Linked DNA regions of Mus musculus: all the other regions are reported to be linked to region 3. The links are microRNA targets in miRTarBase. Many come from high-throughput screens and were not tested one by one. Region 3 holds a microRNA gene; each other region holds the end of a gene's coding sequence.

Region 1 (5,148 bases), not on the chromosome of region 3:
CAGCTTCCCCCAACATATTTCTCGCATCACTTAGGACTTAGTATTTAGGCTGGAGGCCAGCCAGGCAAGACAAGTCACTAACAGCCAGGGTGAACCGCCTAGTCCTCTGCTCCACTCCCCTGTGGTCTAGGTAGGATAATGGGGTGGCTGTTGCCAGGGTCCCTGGAATAGTCACAGGCTAGATGTGGTCCCTGCTTCCCACCAAGGAAGCTTGGCTTACTTTTGCTACCCACAAACACAAGTCCCTTTAGAAGGAATATTGACAGACGACAGGCGCCTGTTATTATGACATGTACCCCAAATCGTGTGCCTTACCCTATGTGCAAACTGGGGCTCAGGCCCAGGGGTTGTTCATGTTAGGGAGGACCAAGGTCAGTTACTCTCTAAACCCAAACCAGTCTTCTACCCCAACAAGGAGCCTCAGAAAACATAACCAAAGAGCAGACCATCTGTTGCAGATAAATAAGAAGTAATCTAGCAGGAGGCTTTCTCTAGGAAAACTTTACCAGGCCCCACACTGGTAGCTGCCAACATGACCATTTACTACATTTCAGCACAACTTTTGATCTTTAGTTCAAGGTTAATCAAGAAAACACCGTTGTTGCTTATATAGAACAGCTTGGTGCAGTGGTTTGCACTGTAGTCCCAGCTGCTGTGGTTTAGGCCCAGTTCAGAGCCAACGTGGACAACAGAGCAAGTCCTCAAGGTCTGATGGGATAGCTGGCAACTGAGCACCTTGCAGTCAGTCCCAGTGTCCCCTGACCTTGGTGACGACCTGTGCCCTTAGATTCCTTCAAGTATCAACCTACCCCCAACACTACCACCATCACTGGTTGGTAGCTCTCCCCTTCTTTATATGAGCACTGTGCAGTACTTTCCTGGTACGTGGCCTGCCCCTAAAGGCACTAACATTGGTGAATGAGGCCTTAATGCCTCCTCACAAACAAAGCCTCCACTTAAATCCAGTAGATCTGTGTTGCTGCTGCCCCCATTCCCAACGCTTGGGAACTAAGACCACCCACAACCGGGGAGCAACTGACACAGCTGCTCCTAACGAATGTGACTGAGATAGGTATGGTTCATCTGGCAATTCACACAAGAGAGGCCACTGGTGCTTACCTCCTATCACCCAACAGTAAGAAGCTACCAAGTGATGGTCTTGGAGGAAAGTAAACTCTACATAAGCAATTCTTACATATATAAATATAAAACCTGGGGAGTGAAAACCCAACTCCACCCTTTCTCAAGCTTTACAGCATGCAGGGTCCAGGTTGTTCAAGATTGGCCAAGCACCCAAACTCACTCGCAGCACCAAGGGCACTGTCTCAGGCAGATGCCCAGGAGCCAAAGGCTCTTAAGAGAATGTACTCTAGTCATGCTCATGTAGGGGGTGGGAACCTCCATCTGGGGATACACACCAGGCTTCTCTGTCACACCCAACAGTAGTGTCCCAGATGGGAGACCAGCCAGTGTTTTGCCTTTTCAAGTTTTTATTTTTATACATTTTTTTTGTATTAAAAAGAAAAGCATAATAATTACCACCAATTACAAAGGACTAGAGCAGGACCAGAATAATGAATGAATCACTTCAGCCTGGGAAGCAGACACTCTCAATAATATTAATGTTATAATACAAGCTCATTCAAGTATTTTACATTTTTCTTGTCCTGTTGATGTGATATCCTAGCACATGGTAAAGACAATATATGAGCGTAGGTGGAACCTTCTCTGCAAAGCCCATGAGAGTTTTCCTTTCCTGTGAGAACTGGGCTCAAAGTTTTCTTCTGCCTCTGCCGTAACCATGGCTGGAGGAGAGGGTGGGAGCTGGGGAAAACCTAGGGGCCCTGTGACAAGAGACTCTGGGGTCCCATCCAGGGGACAGGGGAACCCAAGCCTCTAGCACTCCCCACCATTAGCCTTGTCCTCAATGCCCTTTCCCTCATGTCCAGACCTTCCAAGCAGCTTGCCTTCTTTTGTAAATGTCATCAAAAAGGAGTGGGAAGGAGCTACAGAACAAAAACATTGAACAACTTGACCCGGGGCTCAGCACCTGTCTGAACCTGCGGTCCAGGCTGGAGCAGGGCCAGGCAGCCTTCCCTCCGAGTAGCAAATCTGCTCTGAGGCTCACAGGTTTGCAAACCACCATCTGCCCCTTGCTGGGGCCAGGTGGATGTCTAACCCTGCACAGGCAGAGGATGAAGGCGGTTCCATTTGGCAGGCTGTCTGTCTTAGGTCTTGGATTCCATGGGAAGATGGTGATGGGGAAGTGGCTTGCTCTGGTGCCCCACCCCCACTCCTGGCATACTTGTCACAGATACATCGGTCCTAAATTCAAGTGTCTTCAGAAGGTGAAGATGTAAACTACTCCGCAACATCAACTCTTAACATGTCACAAAAAATACACACACACACACACACACACACACACACACACACACTCCCACCCCTCCTCAGCCTGTGTTGAGATGATAGCCTTGCCTTCCCACCCCAGAGGGGCTTCTTCCCTCAGAGGGTCTGGGAGGATCTGGGAGAGAATGGCAACCCTAGTCTGGATAGCCTAGATGGAAACCACCTTCCCTGATGCTGGGCCTCAAGCCCTGAGGTTCTGTGGTGCTGGATATACAGTAGAGGGCTGAGTGAGGAGAGGAGAGGAGAAAGGGAAGCAGGGAGCCCACTGTTTGGTGAAGGTGCACCATAGGGCAGGTACCAGACTTAGGAGAAGGCCTCAGATCCCAGCAGCAGATGATCCTGTTCCCTTATTTGTTTGCGACAAGTGAGTCACAGGAGCTGACAAGGGATTCCCACATCCTAAGCACCGGGAGGACAGAGTGGGGCAAGGCATGAGCTCAAAGTAACAAGGTGCCCAAAGACAGAAGGCAAGCTCTTGTCAGCCTGGGATGCTGTGTCCCAGTCCCAACTTTTGGGACAATAGAGGAACTGGGCGATGAGGAGGGTCACACAAATTTCAGTTAAGCTAGCAAAAAGACCACACCCCCTTGTGCCACCTAGGTCCAAGTGTAGGGTTAGCATGAAGTCTCCCAGCCTGTGTGCTCAGTCCTTCATTACCCTCCTCAGCTCCTGGTGACAGCAGCCTCCAGCCACTCCTCTGGCATCTCAAGTGCAGCTCAGGCAGTCTGGCTTTTGAAGAGAAGTCAGGTATACTCTATGTCCACATATACCTTCCTGCCATGGGGCTTCACCAAACGGTAGGATTCCCCAGCCCTTGGTTCCTCTCACCCCCTTGATCCCAGGCAGGGCCAATGAGAGGGTGGGCAGAGATGGCTTGCAGGGGGTGGTGGTAATAAGATGGAAAGACAACACCAGACCCTTAGAGAATGGTACCTTTTCTCCACCTCCTTGAGGTCAAAGGTCGTTAAGGTTAGACACAGACCTAAGCTGTGGACATCAGTGGGTGTTCAACCCCTTGTTCTGGAGTTGGGGAGATGTGCACACTGAGGACAAGTGTGTACCAGGCAAGACCAATTATGTTTACAACAGTCTGAAGCAAACTTGGCCTTGGGGTTTCCCAGGGCTTGGCTGGGCGGGGCGGGGCGGAGCAGAGCTGAGTGGGCCTGGAGAGGCGACAGCAAGCACAACAAGGACAGTGGCAACAGTGTGCAGACACAGGACATTGGCTTCAGACAATGCAACAGCAGGGGTGTCCTGGGCACAGCTCTGATAGAACTGCCCCAACTCTTGCCTCCAGGTAGGAGGCCCCGTACATGCAACTCAGTCTCGAGGAAAGTTCTAGTCAGTCCAAGTCCAGGGACATCCCGGGCAGGTGGAGCTCTTCCGGAGGCTCAAGGAAAACAGGCATTTGGGCATTAGTTCAGGTTCCCGCTCCACAATAAGGCAACTTTTAAAAAAATATTATTTCCAAAAACAGAACAGAAGAAAAATTCCAAGGAGGGGGAAAGACATCACTTTCTATGGAGTAGGTGGGCTCTGGTTTTTTGTCTTTTTTTTTTTTTTAAAGTGGTCGATTTTGTCTTTTTTTTTTCTTTCTTCTTTCTTTCTTTTTTATTTTCGTTTTTGTTTTTTTTTTGTTTTTTTGTTTTGTTTTTCTGTTTTCCCAAGGATGGAAAGGTCAGAGAAAAAATAAAATGAATCATCTTTCAATAGTCTCTTCTGGTGTGAGCAGCGTCTCTGGGGTGGGGCGAGGGGGCGAGGGGAGAGGCTGAAGCTCCCACCCCCACTGAGATCCTTTGGTTTCCTTCCCCCAGAGGTGGCAGAAGGGCATGTGGAACAGCAGGGACACGGTGATGGCAAACCCCAGGTGATCAAGGGGCTGGTGCTTCTGGGGCCCATGGGCACCGCCAGAGCCTTCTGGTGGGCTGCATAGTTGGCTTGAGGGAAGCGGGAAGAGGCAGGGGAGACAGGTCGGCATAATAGCCGCAGGAAGGGCTAAAGAGTGATTTTGGTAATCCAGACAAACTATCAATAATTTAAAACTTGATATATATATATGTATATATATATATATATATATATAAAATCTCCCCCCTTCCCCTCCCCCCTTAGAAGTTATGATGGAAGTCATGGTGACAGGAGGGATGGGGTACTTGGAGGCTCCTGCCCAGGAGCACCGCTAATAGCCCAAATGGTATACACTGCTACTTAGCGCAAAGGCCCATTCTTAGTACTCTAGGTCTGTCCCTTCTCTTGTTCGCTCTTCTGGGCACCCCACAGATCCTCAACCACCCCACCCCTCTATCACAAACCCCAGGGGGCTTCAGGCCATTCACTTTCGCAAAGTCAGTGTGTCCGAGTGCTGGCTTGTCCATTTGGCATCTTCTCGAGTGGCCTGGCCAGTAGGTGTCGTAGGGGGTTGGCTGATCCCAGTGGCAGGCCTGCTGGAAGACTGGGAAGGGCACCGCTTCCTGCCCTCTCCGCTGCCTCCTGCTACCACTGGGTGTCGCTTGTGGTTGCCTTCCTCGCCCATGGGGGGCTGTAACAGAGGAGTCACAAGTGGTCAGAGAACACTAGCCACACCACTTTCCAGAACCAATCAGGTCTCCGTTCCATCTCCAAATGAGGACAATGGTTTGATTTACATCCTGTCCTTTCATGTGGACAGTACCAGAAATAAGGAAACGGACCAAACACATAATTTGTCAAAGGCTTCCTATATTTAGGTCCATATCCTTA
Region 2 (5,148 bases), not on the chromosome of region 3:
TATTTGGCGGGAATCCGGTCCCTCCCCATTCTTCATAAATGAGTGTCGGAAATAAAAAGTTGAGCTTTGATCAGAATGCCTGTTTTAGCTGCATCATTTTCTTGCCCACCTAGCCCTTCTTCTCTTCCAGGTTTCCAAAATGCCTTTCCAGCCTAGAACCCAAACATGTAGTCGGCTGGCCAGACACAACACACTTTATTCAGGGTGAACCAGGGATTAATACCCAGTAAGGGAAGCTCATTGGCTGAAGGCGTGGAGCTATCCCAGTCCGCAGTGGGGTGTCATGGTTCCGGAGAAGGTGCACAGACAGGCAGGAAGCGGCTCCACTCCTACCGGTCTCAGATTCCCGGGGTCTGAGCTCACTCAACCTGTCCAGTTCTCACGTCTATCTGGTAACATGGTTCCACATGGGCGCAGATAATTCAGAGGAAGGCAGTCAGATGGTCAACAGACACTAAGTGTTCAGAATCATTAGCCGGAGTAACGAAAGCCTCAGGCCCCAAAAAGCATCCCCTAGAAATGGGCAAAATTAAAACGTTGACAATACTGAGACTCTGGCTAAGGACACAGATCAACTAGAACATTCAAGACACTGTCCTGGAGCATTAAATGGTACAATCACTTTGGGAGGAAGAAAACACACAAGTTGCTTTGTTTTTATAAAATCAAGCATGATCCACCATATCTTCTACCATTTGTCAAAAAGAACATAATTAACAAAAGCTGCACAAAAGTGTTCATAATTGTTTATTTGAAACACCCCAAGTTAGAAACAGCCTGATGTTCATCAGCAGGGTGACTGAATGGTGGAACTTAAGTAGACTATGAGCTTTGGATAAACACAAGTTACAAGCGTCTAAAAATACGTTAAGTTTCTAAGATAGCTACATGAGCTAAGATTCCTTTTATATTATGTCCCTTGGGAGAAGGAATTGACTGGATATTAATTCCCTGGAGTCCTTGTAATATTCACGTTCTGGTCAGGAGTTCACAGCCATTGGTGTTTGTTTAAACTCAATTTCTGAGGTGAGGGTAGAGTGGTAGGTATAGTGTTTGCAGTGAGAACCCATGTTCAGATCCCCATCACCTATGGAGAGAGCTATGATACCAGTCCAGGGATCGCAGGGCTTGCTGCTTAGTGTAGTCGGCCTGGTGAGCTCCAGGTTAACTGAGACCTCATCTCAAAAAGAGGATTAGGGAATCGAGACAGCTCAGGGGGTAAAGGAACTTACTGCCAAGCCTGAACCCAAGTTCACTCCTGGTCACCCACCTGGTGAAAAAGAATAGACTCCTGGGGGTGGGGGTGCTGGAGAGATGGCTCAGAGGTTATGAGCACTGACTGCTCTTCTGAAGGTCCTGAGTTCAAATCCCAGCAACCACATGGTGGCTCACAACCATCTGTAAAGAGATCGGATGCCCTCTTCTGGTGTGTCTGAAGACAGCTACAGTGAACTTAGATATAATAATAAATAAATATTTAAAAAAAAAAAGAATAGACTCCTGGAAGTTGTCCTCTGTCCTCCATACACACGCCATGGCACACCCATGCCCACACATGCACACCCCCAACCGTGACCTCTACCCTCCATCTGCACACCTGCACAGACACAGGGAGGAATCCTGAGGTGCACAGGCACTTACCAACTTTACTTCATGTAAAAGATGGACAGTAAGAATAAGTTGTGTTAGCTAAGCAGTCCCAGCACACCGTAAACCAGGACGGGGAAGCCTGGAGTTCCAAACAGTCTGTACTACATTCAAAGTTCCAGGCCCTGTGCACACCGACAGTCTCTGAATTCAGTCCTGTTAGGTCAGGAAGACATGTACCCTGTCATCCATCCCCTCCTGAGGGGACCTTACAGTCTTTCTACCTCTTCTTCCAAAACATCTTAAACACGGTTCAGTTTTTAACATTCTTCTCTATTGCAATCAACTTGTGACTTGAAGTAGATATTTTCCCTTAAGTCCGTTTTAATTAGAAAGTCACGGTGTGCTGAAAGAAACAGATTGCACCCAGTGAGGTGTGCACCCTTCACTCCCTCACTGCTCTCAGTCTGGAAAGGCCACTGGTCCGAGTTCCCAGTGAAATCCACCTAACACATACCTGGTCTCTCTCTCTCTCTCTCTTACTGAAAACTGTCAGCAAGGAAGAATGAAGAATCTGGTGACCTGGGTTGAAAGTATTTAGGCACATTCTGCTAGGGGCTCCATCACTGCCCCCAGGGGGCCATGGTCCAGCAGCTTCCGAGCTCCCCTAGGTGAGACTGGGCTGTGTGAAGCTGGCCTATGGACCACATCTAGGATTCCCGGTAGGGAAGGAATAAAGAGCTGGTCTCTGAGAGTCGACTGCCTGCGCAGATCCAGGGTAGGAGGTCTTAAGCCTAATCCATTCTCAAGTGCCATGTCCCCTTCAGACTGTGAGTCACGAGTATCAAAATAACACAGAACTCTGAACTTCTTCCTCAAAACAATACCAAAAAAAAAAAAAAAAAAAGAAGAAGAATACCCCTTGCATACTAAAATACTTATTTTAATGAATTTGTTTTTAATACAAATGAAAAACAAGATTCTTACCATTTTAACTACAGTTAAAACCAGAACTGGTCAATAACATATTAATTTTGCAAAGTTTTTAACTACAGATTGTCAAATATATAATAGAAAATGCAATTTAGTGCTTTTTTGTCACAATATCAAAAATAAGCATTTTTCTCGTACGTAGGTTATCAAAAGTGCCACTCAAAATCTTTTTCTTAATCAAGTAAAGTATCTGCAAGTGTGCAAGTTTGCTAAAAATTAAAAAAGGAACCGTCAGTGCTATTATATAGAAAAACCCTGTTCTGAAAAACAAAACAAACACAAAAAAAAAAAACAAAAAAGGAAAACTTTATATATTGAATATCACTTAAGTGCTTCTTAACCAACCAAAAATGCCTAACACAGACGGCAGGCCCACGTCCTTAGGATGAAAGTCATCCTACAGAACTGTAATGTTGTAACATGGCAGTTATGCACCAAATCGAGCAAATAGAATCTATCACTTAGTATGTTTGCTTGCTTGCTTTTTACTTTGTCCACGAGACAGCAGGTTTAATGTTGTATTGTCTCAGTCAAGTAGTCTGCCACATAAGGTTAGGTTCTGTGGTTTACATCAAATGTGGGAAGACAGTCCTCAGGAGAGCTGAGCATTTTCACAGGAAAACAACTTTCATTTCAGATAAAACTAGAAATACACGCACATATCTATTGAGCAGAGATACCAAATGCAAACTTGCAAGAAGAGACAGTCAAATAAACTCGTGAAGCAATGATCGCCGGAAGAGGTGCAGGACACCGTTTCAGCCATGACAGTACTTTTTGTTCAGTCACAGAGACATGCCACCAGCCTGTTCAGACCAACTGAGTCAGGAGAAACATACAACATGTGAAGACTATCTCTCTCCAGCTGGTGACACAAAACAGCCCAGGTTCCAACCACAGGATTATTAACAATAAAAACTACACCGCTAGCCTGGCACGGTGGCCCGGACCCATAATCCCAGCACTTTGGAAGCTGAGGTAGAAGGTCTGTGGCCAGCCTGGGCTACAGAGTGAGACTCCTGTTGCAAAAAGAAAACAATACACACAAATTGTAACCCTGCTTTTCTAAGGAAAAAGTAGTTTTTAAAACAAGGGCAAGAAATAAACTTCAAACTGAGACTCATATTAAAAATAATGAAAAATAATACTTGAAACTAAAATAAATTTCAGGTTTTTTTTTTCAAGCCTACAGCACCCGGTATTCCCAGGCGGTCTCCCATCCAAGTACTAACCAGGCCCGACCCTGCTTAGCTCCAGAGATCAGACAAGATCGGGCGTGTTCAGGGTGGTATGGCTGTAGACAATTTCAGGTATTTTTAATGTGTGCAAGATATATAAAATAAATAACTGTATACACCAAATGTACACTATTAGTTTATTTTAGGTTAAAAAGTATTTAGGAAAAGTTCTCCATGTTCAAAATTAAATAGGAATCGTCTTCTATATACAGGAATTATACTGGAAATATGAAGTAAAAGTTTAATTCTGCAGAATTAAAACACAATTATAGTCATTCAAAAGGTAAAAAAAAATACTGAATTTTTTGTTAAATTCTTAGAATTTTGCAGTAACAAGTGAACTTTTTGTAACATTTAAAAAATTATTCTTTTATCAATATAAAACTATCCAAATAATTATGAGAATCTCTTACACCAGAAAAATAAATTCACATGATACACTCGTGACCCCAAGAGCTACGACCAGCAGAGCGAGCGGTGTCCCTGAACCAAAGCACTTCCTCTTTTGTCTCCTCCACCCTTACACATAAGCGCTCTCTCACATCATTCACAGAACCACGGGCACACTCTGAGAGAAGTAACTCCTCCTCCTGCCTCCGACGCCCAGGGCGACCCTCAGTCTTCTTTCTTGGCGTGTCTCTTAGCACCACCCGAAGGCTCTGCTCCCCGCTTCGATGCACTTGAGGCAGAACCATTGGAAGACGGTTTGACTTCAGTTTTCTTTTCACTCGATGAAAACTGCTGCTGCTGCCGCCGGCCAAAAAGCATCCGAGTCAGGGTGTCCTCAAAGGGAGTGAGAGTCACAGCAGTATCCTTTGTCATCATCATGGTTACCTAGGGGGAAAAATTAACTTTGAATTTCAGTACAAACACTTTTTGTTTCTTAAAACCGAGAGAGAAAAATAGTGGGCAAAGGGATTCAAATGTATTTTTCATTTAATCTGTAGGAGAAAAAAATATGGTAAATTCTGGGAAAAATCTCAGATCGCTAAGAATTTAAAGATTATTCATTAAAAATGTACCTGATACTGGTACACCAAATGAAGTATAACCATTACTACCAAAACTTAAAAAGAAAAAATAACAAGAGAGAGAGAAATAGACAGATGATAGACAGACAGACAGATAAGGAAGTCAAGGGAAATGAGATATAATCTTTTTTTTAGATGAGATATAATCTTATCTAGCATCTACACATACAGCCAATACAGCTATCATTACTATATGTCTGGCATGGGTCAGAATTGTAAATACTTTATACTCCTCTCTACTTTGAACTTAATGCAACAATTAATGTTGCCTTCATCACAGAGAGGAATAGTCACAGCTC
Region 3 (5,148 bases):
AGTAACTACTAGAGCCAAAGGACTGAAGGCCAACTAAGCTTGACTTTCAGCGACAGGGTCTATATTGGCACAGTACTCACTAAGTGGCCTATGGTAGCCTCAAACTTGCAATGATATTCCTGTCTTCATACCTTAAGTGCAGAGTTACAGACATGTGACACCATATTTGAAGAAGCTCACACTGGCAGAAGATGGAAGATTTGGGCTTCACTGCAGAGAAGAACTGCAATGAGGGAAAAACTAAATACATTTAAATCCCTGTGTTTATCAAAATAGTTTTTGAATGCATATCTTTGCAATAACTCATTTTTAGCCCTGATAAGAGAGTCAAGCATTTACCTTTTCTTTCTTAGGAAAACTGTTATTAGTAGGTAATCAAATAGTAAATGAGGGGAAGTTTTTACTTTACAGAAGTTACCCAGCAATTAACAGGAGGGTGAATAGTGGAATGCCACCATTCTACAACTGCTAATGAAATAATGGCTCTAGGATTTGAGCATCAATGGCAAACTACCGTAACACACAAAGACCTGTATCTCTGAATGGAGGCAGTTCTTTCCTCCCCACAAATTAAGCCTGAATCTAATAAGGCTCTTGGATACAACTCTCAATTAATAGGAAATGCAAATAAAAGGAGCATGGAAGCTACATCAGAGGAATGTGCTCATAAAAACACAAGACTGTGGAAAGCCACGCAGATATATGACCTACTTTCTTCCAACAAATAAGTATGAGGAAAAAGGTAAAGACGGGCTTATAATTCAAAGGCACTTAAAATACTGGCCAATGAAATTAATGCAAGGGTCTTATTTAGATCCTAGTTTATGATACCTCCAAAAGAAATGGAAATTTGAACAATGGATATATGATGTCAAAGAATCGGTAATTATTTCTAAACATGATAATGGCACAATGACTTTTGTTGGATTACAAAAAGAAAACAATCCTTCCTTTTGTGCAGATTCACACTAATCATCAGTGCTCTTCCCTCCATCTGTGACTGAAGCCTTCCACACTTCTGCTGCTGCTTCAATGGCATTGATGCTCTCAGTACACAGCAGCCTTTCCTAAAGGCTCCACTGGAAACTGAAATGCCACCACTTTCCCTACTATTGTCACTCCACGCATTACATACTTGTTTCCCTTGCTTTTTCATTCTCCTGGGCAACAATGACCCACTGCGTGTTTAATCATTTTGTTTACTGCCTTCATCTCCCTAATAGCCCTGATTAGTGCTGTGTACGTGGGTGCATAGGAAAATACTCAAAGTAAAAAAGATAACCAAGCGACATTTGCTGAATAGCCTACCAAACAAATCAGCTGTGAACCCTGGGTCTGGAACAGGATGAGGAAAAAAGTTCCAGCTTTCAAGAGAAAGAGTTTCAGTATCAAACAAAAAAGAACTATCCAAATAAATGTCTTAAAGCTATCATACACTCTCCTGCACAAAGAAATATATATGTGAGAAAGCAGGACACAGTGCGGGTTTTTCCACTCCCTGAAATCTAGTATATATGTGAACAAATGCATCTAAAGAAGTACGTGCAAATTTCCTCATAGCATAAGCTTATGAGAAATAGCTAGATGGCTTTCTTTCCAGCTAACTTGAGAATGAGAGTCCTGAGAAGGCTCTCTCTGCTCCCCTATATACAGGAAAAGCAAGACCAGGACAAAAGACTTCCCTTCTTTCTAAGCAATAACTGTCACCAAAGGTAAGGGTCCATACTCTGTACAAAATACAATACAAAATTAGAAGGTAAGAAGGCTGGAAATATAACTCAGTTGATAAAAGTATGCCTAGAACTCACAGAACCCTGGGTTCCATCCCCAGCACAGCAGAAACCAGGCGTACATTCCTATAATCCTAGCATTCAGGACAAAGAGGCATGAAGATCAGAATTGGAACATCAAGCCAGGCATAGCCACTCCAGTCTTATATCTAGCACTGAGAAGGCAGAGGCAGGCGAATTTCTGAGTTTGAGGCCAGCCTGGTCTACAGAGTGAGTTCCAGGACAGCCAGGGCTATACAGAGAAACCCTGTCTCGAAAAAAAGTGCTCCATCATCATCCTTAGCTATGCAGGGAGTTCAAAGGCAGCATGGGACACATGAGCCCTCCCTGGAGAAAGAAAACTGTGAGATGTGCATGTCAGGTGGAAGACAGGACAGATGGCTGTTTCCTTGGGTATGTGGGGTTTTCTTTATGAAGTTGTGTATGCATATGTCCACCATGCACAAGAGAGCAAGGAAAGCTGAAGCTCACCATCCTGCAAACCCTGCATGTGGGAGGGGTTTTCAGAGAGCTCACCCTCCACCATGCAAGGGATGTGAGAGAGGGAGCAGGGAAGGGTTCACTCTCTTGGCACAACAGGTAGGTACTTTCTATGGAAAAAGCAACAGAAAGCAGCCCAGGGATCACGCAGAAACAACAAACCAGCTACATGAAACTGATGGTGGGTAAGGCAGGAGGAACACACACATGCGGACCAAGAGGGGCATTACAGGCAGGAAAGTCACTTGGAAGAGATAGCGAATGGCAATGCTGTGTGTATATATATACATATATATATATGTATATATATATATATATATGCGCCACACAGAGAGCACATGAGAGAGAGGAGACATGTCTTTGCTGTAGATGTATATGCAGTCATGCCTATGCACAGGAGAGAGAAGAGAAGGCTTGCTCTCCTGCAAGCCTTGGGTGTGGGAGGGTAATTAAGATGTCAACGGTCCTACACTCAAGGCATGGAAGAGAAAAAGCAAATCTGTAGGCGTGCTCTCCTGTGTACAAATCAGCATGCATGTACAACAGTGTGTCTTTGTCTGTGTTGTATGTTGGTCCTGAAAGGTATGATGACTGCCTTAGACATAGCACAATGAAAAGGTGTATTTGTGAACATGCACATATATGCCTTTAGGAGTGTTCACTTCCTATGGACTATTTGTTTTTATACTCTTAATTATTCATTTTATTTATTCACTTTATATTCCACTCACTGCCCCCTCTTCCAGTTGTTTTTAATATTCTTTTCTTTTTATTCCCAATGCCAGTTTATATTTGCTCTTGGTAGAGTATTAAGTTGTGGTAATTTGTTAAGCTCTTCTATGTTTCTTTTTTTTAAATTAGATATTTTCTTTATTTACATTTCAAATGTTATCCCCTTTCCTGGTTTTCCCTCTGAAAACCCCCTTTGCCATCCCCCTCCCCCTGCTCACCAACCCACCCAGTCCCACTCCCCTGCCTTGGTATTCCCCTATACTGGTGCATCGAGCCTTCTCAGGATCAAGGGCCTCTCCTCCCATTGAGGTCCAACAAGGCCATCCTCTGCTACTTATGCAGCTGGATCCATGAGTCCCTCCATGTGTACTCTTTGGTTGGTGGTTTAGTCCCTGGGAGCTCTGGGGCTACTGGTTGGTTCATATTGTTGTTTCTGCTATGGTGGATGCTCTCATCCAACCACTGGATGAGAGCATTCACCTGAACCTCCACATAGCTAACACACTCCCCTCCCACATTCCTGAGCTAAAATTTATTAAATCTATATTTTATCTTTGCTGTCCTGAACCCTTTTGGGCAGCCCTTCTGGGGCCACCTTCCCCTTTGTGTAGTCTCCCCTCCCCCAGCCTGAAACCTTGCTTGCTCAGGGGTGGAGCTTCCCGCTCAATCTTTCTGCCACGCCTACTGCTGGAACCTGCCGCTTTGCTGTTCCGAAGCCATCACGTGATCACCCTGCTACTGGATCCCAAGATTATTTGGCGGGAATTGGGCCCCTTCCCCCTTCCTTTATAACTGAGTGCCAAAATAGTAAAAATTGAACCGTGAGCAGAGAGCTTTGTCTTGGTTCCTTCCTTATCTCGCGCAGCCCAGCCCCTCTTCTCTTCCAGGTTTCCAAAATGCCTTTCCAGGCTAGAACCCAGGTTGTGATCTACTGGCCAGACACAACACCTTTGTACCTACATTTCAGCTGTCTCTCCCTCCTGTACCTTCCCTGCATAGTCTGTCACTTGTGCCCTTGTCATTGTGGAATCCCCTCTTCCTTCTCTGCTGTGCTTCTTGCTGGGGAATCCTGCAAGTCTGGCTTCTGTCTCCCTGCCCAGTCACTGGTCACTGGCAACTTTATTTCCCAATCAGAGCCAACTAGGAGCAGAGACCCTCAGCACAGACATGTGGGCTCCCATATGATTTCAGGAGCCAAATTAACACAAATAACATTAGAACCAATCTGCAACATTAAGTACTTTTCATATACAACTAATTTGTTCCCACAAATATCTATGAAGTAATGATCATGTTCCCTGTCCTACAGATGAAACAATACCAGGTCATACTTAAAGAACAGCTAGAAAGAATGATTATAGGATATAATCTGGGTGTAGCAGTACACCCTCCATAATCTCAGCAATGAGAGGCTGAGGCAGGTGAATAGCAAGTTGGAGACCTGACTGCTTTACATTGTACAATCATGTGATCAAAATAAAAATCAACAAACAAAAAAGAAAGCTGAGAATGTGTAATGTGAGCCATCAGAAAGAAAGCCGGAAAAGTGGGCTTTATCTCCTGATCATATTTGTGTGCTCACACAAAAGGTAGAGCACAAGGCTTTTGAGCCCAGGGAAGAGGTAATGAAAGTGGAAGTACTAGAGGCAATGGGATATTAGCCACTTCTAATGTGTGTTAGATTGGACCTGTTTTAAAAGTACAGCCAACTGCATTTCATAATGCCTTGGACTTAAAGTCTAAAAAAATAAATTTCAAAGATCCTTCCAGAGACTCAACCTACTCAAATGCTCTGTAATCTTGGCTTGAGCACCTAGGGGATGCAGCTGTTGTTACACAACACTGGAAGGGGAGCTGGTCTGTTTGAAAGGCAAGGGAAGAAAACCAGGATTTCGGCTTTGGATGCATTAAAGTTTTAGATGCTTATTAGACACCTGGGGCAGATGTCTAATATACAATTGAATGAAAACATATGGAATTCAGCAACATAAATATGAAAGTAAATACCTACGAAGGAGGTATTTACTTACAAATACAGCTGCAAGACCAGATTAGCTCAAGATTGATGAGAAGTGGAAAAAGTCCAAAGCTTAAACCAGATATGATAGTTAATCTTCATTATTTTATCAACTTGATTGGATTCAGA
Region 4 (5,148 bases), not on the chromosome of region 3:
CCCTCCTCCCACCCCTGTGAACCTGTCTTCTGTGATGCATGCCAGTCTCTTAGTACTGTATCTCGAACTCCTTAATAAAGGACAGCAGTGGAAAGAGCCCAGGTTTGCATTGTTTCTTTCCGGGCATCATTAACCAGTACTGAAGAAGGGGCCTTGGTGTCCCTCACTGGACCCTGTTGGCAGAGCCACCAACACTGTCCTCTGATGGCACTGCTGTGTCTCTCTACTTGTGACTCACCCTGCAGGGGTCTACACAGCTTGCCTTCCAGTTCATGCAAGCCAGACACAGACGCAGGCCTGTGTCTTTGCTTCCTGCTCATGTCACCCCGTTTCTCTGTGTGCCTGGCTATCTGACACACGGCCATTCAAACCCTGAAAATGAACTGTGGGGTTTTCAACAAGGCCTAGGACGGTGGCTCCTTCCTGCAGAAGGGTTCTCCATTTGCCTCCTGTGGACACCCATGGCCCTTTCCTGTTGAGAACTACCTCATCCCAGCTCCATGCCCCGCAGCTCTGTGCCTTGAAGCTCCGTGCCCCGCAGCTCTGCCTTGGCCTTCAAAGCTAGCAGCCATCAGAGCACTGGGTTGCTGTTGCGCAGAACCCCCAGGCTGTGCATCCCTCTCCCCAGATCTCTGGGTTGAGGTCTCATGATTTCCTTTTGTCCCCTGTGTTAGAGCCATCCAGCCAGCCCCATGCTGGCCCTGCCCCACCCACCCCCAAGAAGCTGGGAGAGAGGGAGACAGATGTAATGCTAGGCTCAGAACTTTAAGGATAAAGGGCCTCATAGACTCCAAATCAGGGAGAGTTCTCACTGTCCTAGAGGAGAGAGGAGATGGGGTCAGGAGAAGCTCATACCAGCTACTGAAGGATGCACAGGAGTTCACGAGCGAACTCCAGCAAAGGCCCAGGTAGATGACAGCAGGACATTCTAAAACAGTCCGTGCTCTCTGGTGCCTCTCTGACAAGAGAGCCCTGGGGCCACTAGTTTCCAATGTTCTGTGCCCATACCTGTTGTCATAGGGGACAGTAGCTCCTGCCAGTCCCCATATGCCCAGATTACCAGGTGAAGCCTGGTAGGGGACCCCTCATTCACAGACCACCCTCTCAGGAGTCCATTCAGACCCTGCCTAGTCTACAACAATGTCCATGCTCAACCATTGGGAACAACCCATAGCCCCTCCCCCGAGACCCCAATAGGAAGTGCATGGCCACACTCCCACTGGTTGGCTATCACCAGAGGCAGGGCTAATTTCCCCCTTTCTTTCTATCCAGAGGACACTGGCCCTTTCCTGGGCCTTCTAGATGGTTGGCAACCTCCTGTATGGAGTCCAGCTGGGTTGGTGGAGTATGGAGAGCCATTTGGGAGACAGTGAAAGGAATCAAGGATGCAGGCTTCAGGGACAGGTGGTCCTGCCATGCCTCTGTGCCCTTTAAGAAGGAGCCTCCTCAGCAAGACACGGAGGGCCATGGCCACCCTGCGGGGGTGGGGGTGGGGGTCGGGGGATGTGTGTTAGTACAACTCAGATGAAAGTCACAACCTGACTCGGAGAGCAAGACAGGAGTGGGTCCAACGTGTACAGGCATCTCTAGACAAGGCAGCTCTGCTCCCAGGATCCCTCTGCTTTGATGCTGCAGATTGCAGATGTGAAAGTGGGATGGGGTGAGTTGGGCCGGGGAGGGCGGGTGGAGGGAGAACCCACACTCCAGGTTCATCTTTCTCCGTGCTTGCCAAATTTAGCTTTGCCTATTTTTAAATTGCAAATGGTGAACTCCCCGGCACCTCGGCTAGGATCAAAGTCAGTCTTGCTGAATGTTCTTTGGAAGAGGCATTTGAAGAAGCAGGGAAACATGGGACACGCATGCCTGTCCTCCTGCCCAGGAAGCCAGCTAGGGGTAGATACAGGGGCACAATGCACCAACCCCTGCAGAAAGAAACCAGACCCTAGGGATGGCACCAGGAAGCAACCACAATGGGACCACTAGAAAGCCATGACTGTTCCCCTGGACCTGAGTCAGCATAGAGATTCAGATCTGTCTATCCTGGTATCCGTCTATCCTGGCAGCACCATCCAGGAGACAGTCGGAAGAGCTCTTTCCCTACCCTCACTGTCCCAACAGGCTCACTGTGTACATGAGAAAGCAAAAGCTTTCTCATGTAAGAAGCCAATCCTATACCACCAGGAGGTAGGCCCAGAGTCTAATCAGGGCTCTATGGTCCTGTTGTCCCAGGGACACTGGCAGGAGAGGGCTGGGTACAGAGGTAGACAGAGAACCCCTCTATAGATAGCTACCTGCTAGCCCTTCTGGGAAAGCCTAGTGAGCAGAGCCGATCACTGCAGGCGGTAGAAGATATCCTGGGGACGGTAGAAACCCTGGATGGCAGCCGCAGGAGTGGGAGGGACAGCCAGCGGGAGAGGCTGGAGAAGGCTGGCCCCCCTGCTTCTGTATTCTCACTCATTCAGGCCTGCACTCGGGGAGACACTCATGAAGATGCTACGAGGGGCCCTGAGTTCTTTGAGGATCACATCAGTCCTCTGGTTCACGGTGAGAGCTACTGATCATAGCTCTCCATCTTCCTGGGCAAGGAGTCCTAGTCTAGTATGAGGCAGACGGCAGCCACTCTGAAGCTCACCATGAGGTTTTTCAAGTGGGAAGGAAGGAGGCAGCTCCTGCCAGCAGCCTCTACCGAGATTAAATCTGGCCCGTGCTAAGACCCTGAAAGCAAGAGTCAACAGTAGGAGAGGGTCCCACCAGCCCGTGGCCCACCACAGCAAAGCCTAGAGCGAATCTGGCCAGGTACCCAGCCTGAACAGGCTCAGTATCACAAGGTAGCCACACAGATCCAAGTAACCCGAAGACCCAATGAACATGGGCCCCGTGCTACTCTCCAGGGGGGTTGTGGGGGTTAGGGGGACTGAGACACTGAGTAAACCACAAAGCTTGCCCAAAGTCATGCAATACTTCAGGCAGACTTCAGATCTGTGCCTGACTGGTTCTAAAGCCTGGGTCCCAGCAGAAGTCATTCGTTGGACAGTTATGTTCCAGGGACATGGCGGGACACAAAGTCCTGCCCAGGGATCTTGCCGAGTGTCACACAGGACAGCACAGGGTGGGACATGCTGCTTGAGGGAGAAGGAGTTACACCCCTGTGGCTCCCTGAATGAGCATCTCCCTGTATGCTCGTGGGGAAGAGACAGTAGCTTGTCCTCAGGGTGACAAGCACATTGGCCCCGTGGCACCTGAGCACAGAGGAGGCAGCCATCAGCCGGGGGAGGAGGGGACTGGCCTATTGTGGCAGCAAGGACACAGGAGCCTTGGGGCAAGGCCCAACCCAAGGCCCTGACCTGCTTCCCCAGATGGTGGTACCCTTCAATGCCTTGGACACTAAAATAAATATCCTAACACAGCATCCCTGGGCCACTTCTGGCCCTAAGACTCAGTATGACCAACACTCTTCCAGATCCCAACACACACGCAGGCTGCTTCCCTGACCTCACAGATGAAGAGCTGGGGCAGGGAGGGAAGGGGCAGGTCATGCCCGGGACCAGATCGCAGAATGGGTTAGGGGTGAAGCCATACACCACTCTGCCACATCCCAGACCTCCTCCCCTCCTTCCTCCTCCCCCCCCCTCCCCTCCCTACCTCTTTTAAGTACCACGATACCCACCCCAACCTGTGAGTGAGTCCCTGGGCCGTCGGGCATCCTAGTCACAAGTCTGATAGTGTTTGAGACTCATAGGCCTGCTCCAGGCCCCTAGGGAGCTAGGCTTCCTGTCTTCGTCCCTGTTCTACTGCTGTGAAGAAACACCATGACCACGGCAAGTCTTATTTTAAAAAGCATTTAATTGAAGCGGGTTTACAGTTTCAGAGGTTCATCATTCAGATTATCATCATGGTGGGAGGAAGCATGGCAGAGTGCGGGCATGGCGCTGGAGCAGTAGCTAAGAGTTCTACATCCTCATCTGAAGGTGGAGAGAGATCCACTGGACCTGGTGTGAGCTTCTGAAACCTCAAAGCCCACCCCCAGTGACACACTTCCTCCCACAAGGCCACGCCTCCTAATCCTCGTCATCCTTTCCAACAGTTCCACTCCCTACATGCCACACTTCCTTCTATGTGCTTCTGAGTCCCTGCTTCTCCTCGCACTCCTTCAGGACAGATGCATAGCTTTGCCCACCACAGACCACCCACCTGGCAGTGGGCAGGCAGCAAGTTAGAGGACCAGAGGTGGGTAGGAAGAAACACAGTTGTTGGTGTCTTATAGTGGGGTGGTGGTGGGGGGCGCTGAGGTGCACTGAGCTCCTGGGCAGTCACAAGCCCCAGAGCCTCACTGTCCGAAGGACCAGCAGGTGACAGTCCCATCTCAAGCTCCCCTATCTGCAGTAAGAAGGCAGGAAGACACTGCTAATATGTGTTCATTGCCAAAATCACATTAAGAAAAACCACACCAGGCGTGGTGGCACACACCTTTCATCTCAGCACTCAGGAGGCAGAGGCAGGTGGGTCCCTGAGTTCAAGGCCAGCCTGAGTTCCAGGACCACCAGGGCTACACAGAGAAACCCTGTCTTGAAAAACCAGAAACAAAACAAACAAACAAGTAAAAGACCAATCAACCAACCAAACCATACAGAGCACACGCTTACTGATTGCGTGTCACCCACCAGTCACTCGGCAAACACCTTTACTAACACACGCTTGCGCCGAGACGGCTTCTCACCCCCATGCTATAGCCGAGTCACTGAAGCCCAGCAGCTCTCGGGAGCAGCCTAACCTCCGGCCGCCTACCCAGGGGCAGGGTCTCAGTTGCCAGTTAGTGCCAGATCTTGATGTCTCCTCCCCAGGAGCAGGTCCCGAGGACAGAAGGCAGCACAGGATGGTAGGTGGTGCCAAGGCAGGCCTGCGTGTGCCCTTGTAGTGTGCACGCTCGGCTGGCCGTGCGGAAACTGAACATCAAAACCCGGCCATCAGCGCTGCCTGTCACCAGCAGGTCACCACATGGGGAACACTCACAGCCCACCGCGTAGCCTTCCACCTGTGGAGAGAGACAGCAGGCTACCTGTGAGGGATCATGATTCACCCCACGCTGCAAAGGATGAGCTGAGGCTAGGAAGCTGCTAAGCCCAGGGCTGGCTTTATCTTTAGTGACCC

What was found. The annotated mature microRNA mmu-miR-532-3p reads CCUCCCACACCCAAGGCUUGCA and lies in region 3 at 2,694-2,715, opposite strand. An mRNA with a match to its seed (bases 2 to 7 or 8) in the 3' UTR can be bound and repressed. Matches are read on the target gene's strand: a 7mer-m8 pairs with bases 2 to 8, a 7mer-A1 pairs with bases 2 to 7 and ends in A, and an 8mer does both.
Region 1: miRTarBase lists Larp1 as a target of mmu-miR-532-3p. Seed matches in the 3' UTR shown: 7mer-m8 at 4,184-4,190, 7mer-A1 at 3,035-3,041 and 7mer-m8 at 2,438-2,444.
Region 2: miRTarBase lists Tmem38b as a target of mmu-miR-532-3p. Seed matches in the 3' UTR shown: 7mer-A1 at 3,793-3,799.
Region 4: miRTarBase lists Wdr25 as a target of mmu-miR-532-3p. Seed matches in the 3' UTR shown: 7mer-m8 at 4,039-4,045.

What each region holds. Positions count from the first base shown.
Region 1 is chr11:58,058,359-58,063,506 of GRCm38, reverse strand. It overlaps Larp1 (La ribonucleoprotein domain family, member 1), which reads right to left. Exons shown (of 19, transcript NM_028451.1): 19 at 1,473-4,948. The coding sequence ends at 4,742. Among named protein-coding and RNA genes, the nearest start is that of Gm12248, 32 kb to the left of the region's middle.
Region 2 is chr4:53,859,386-53,864,533 of GRCm38, reverse strand. Tmem38b (transmembrane protein 38B) reads right to left here. Exons shown (of 6, transcript NM_028053.2): 6 at 2,516-4,652. The coding sequence ends at 4,434. It also overlaps LOC115490001. Among named protein-coding and RNA genes, the nearest start is that of Tmem38b, 36 kb to the right of the region's middle.
Region 3 is chrX:7,245,726-7,250,873 of GRCm38, forward strand. It overlaps Mir532 (microRNA 532), which reads right to left and starts at 2,772; the gene lies at 2,677-2,772. The region is part of intron 2 of Clcn5 (chloride channel, voltage-sensitive 5); the gene reads right to left. It overlaps Mir188 (microRNA 188), which reads right to left and starts at 2,331; the gene lies at 2,264-2,331.
Region 4 is chr12:109,027,130-109,032,277 of GRCm38, reverse strand. Wdr25 (WD repeat domain 25) reads right to left here. Exons shown (of 7, transcript NM_177602.3): 7 at 3,826-5,032. The coding sequence ends at 4,811. Begain (brain-enriched guanylate kinase-associated) reads left to right here. Exons shown (of 7, transcript NM_001163175.1): 7 at 1-96. Among named protein-coding and RNA genes, the nearest start is that of Gm52002, 16 kb to the left of the region's middle.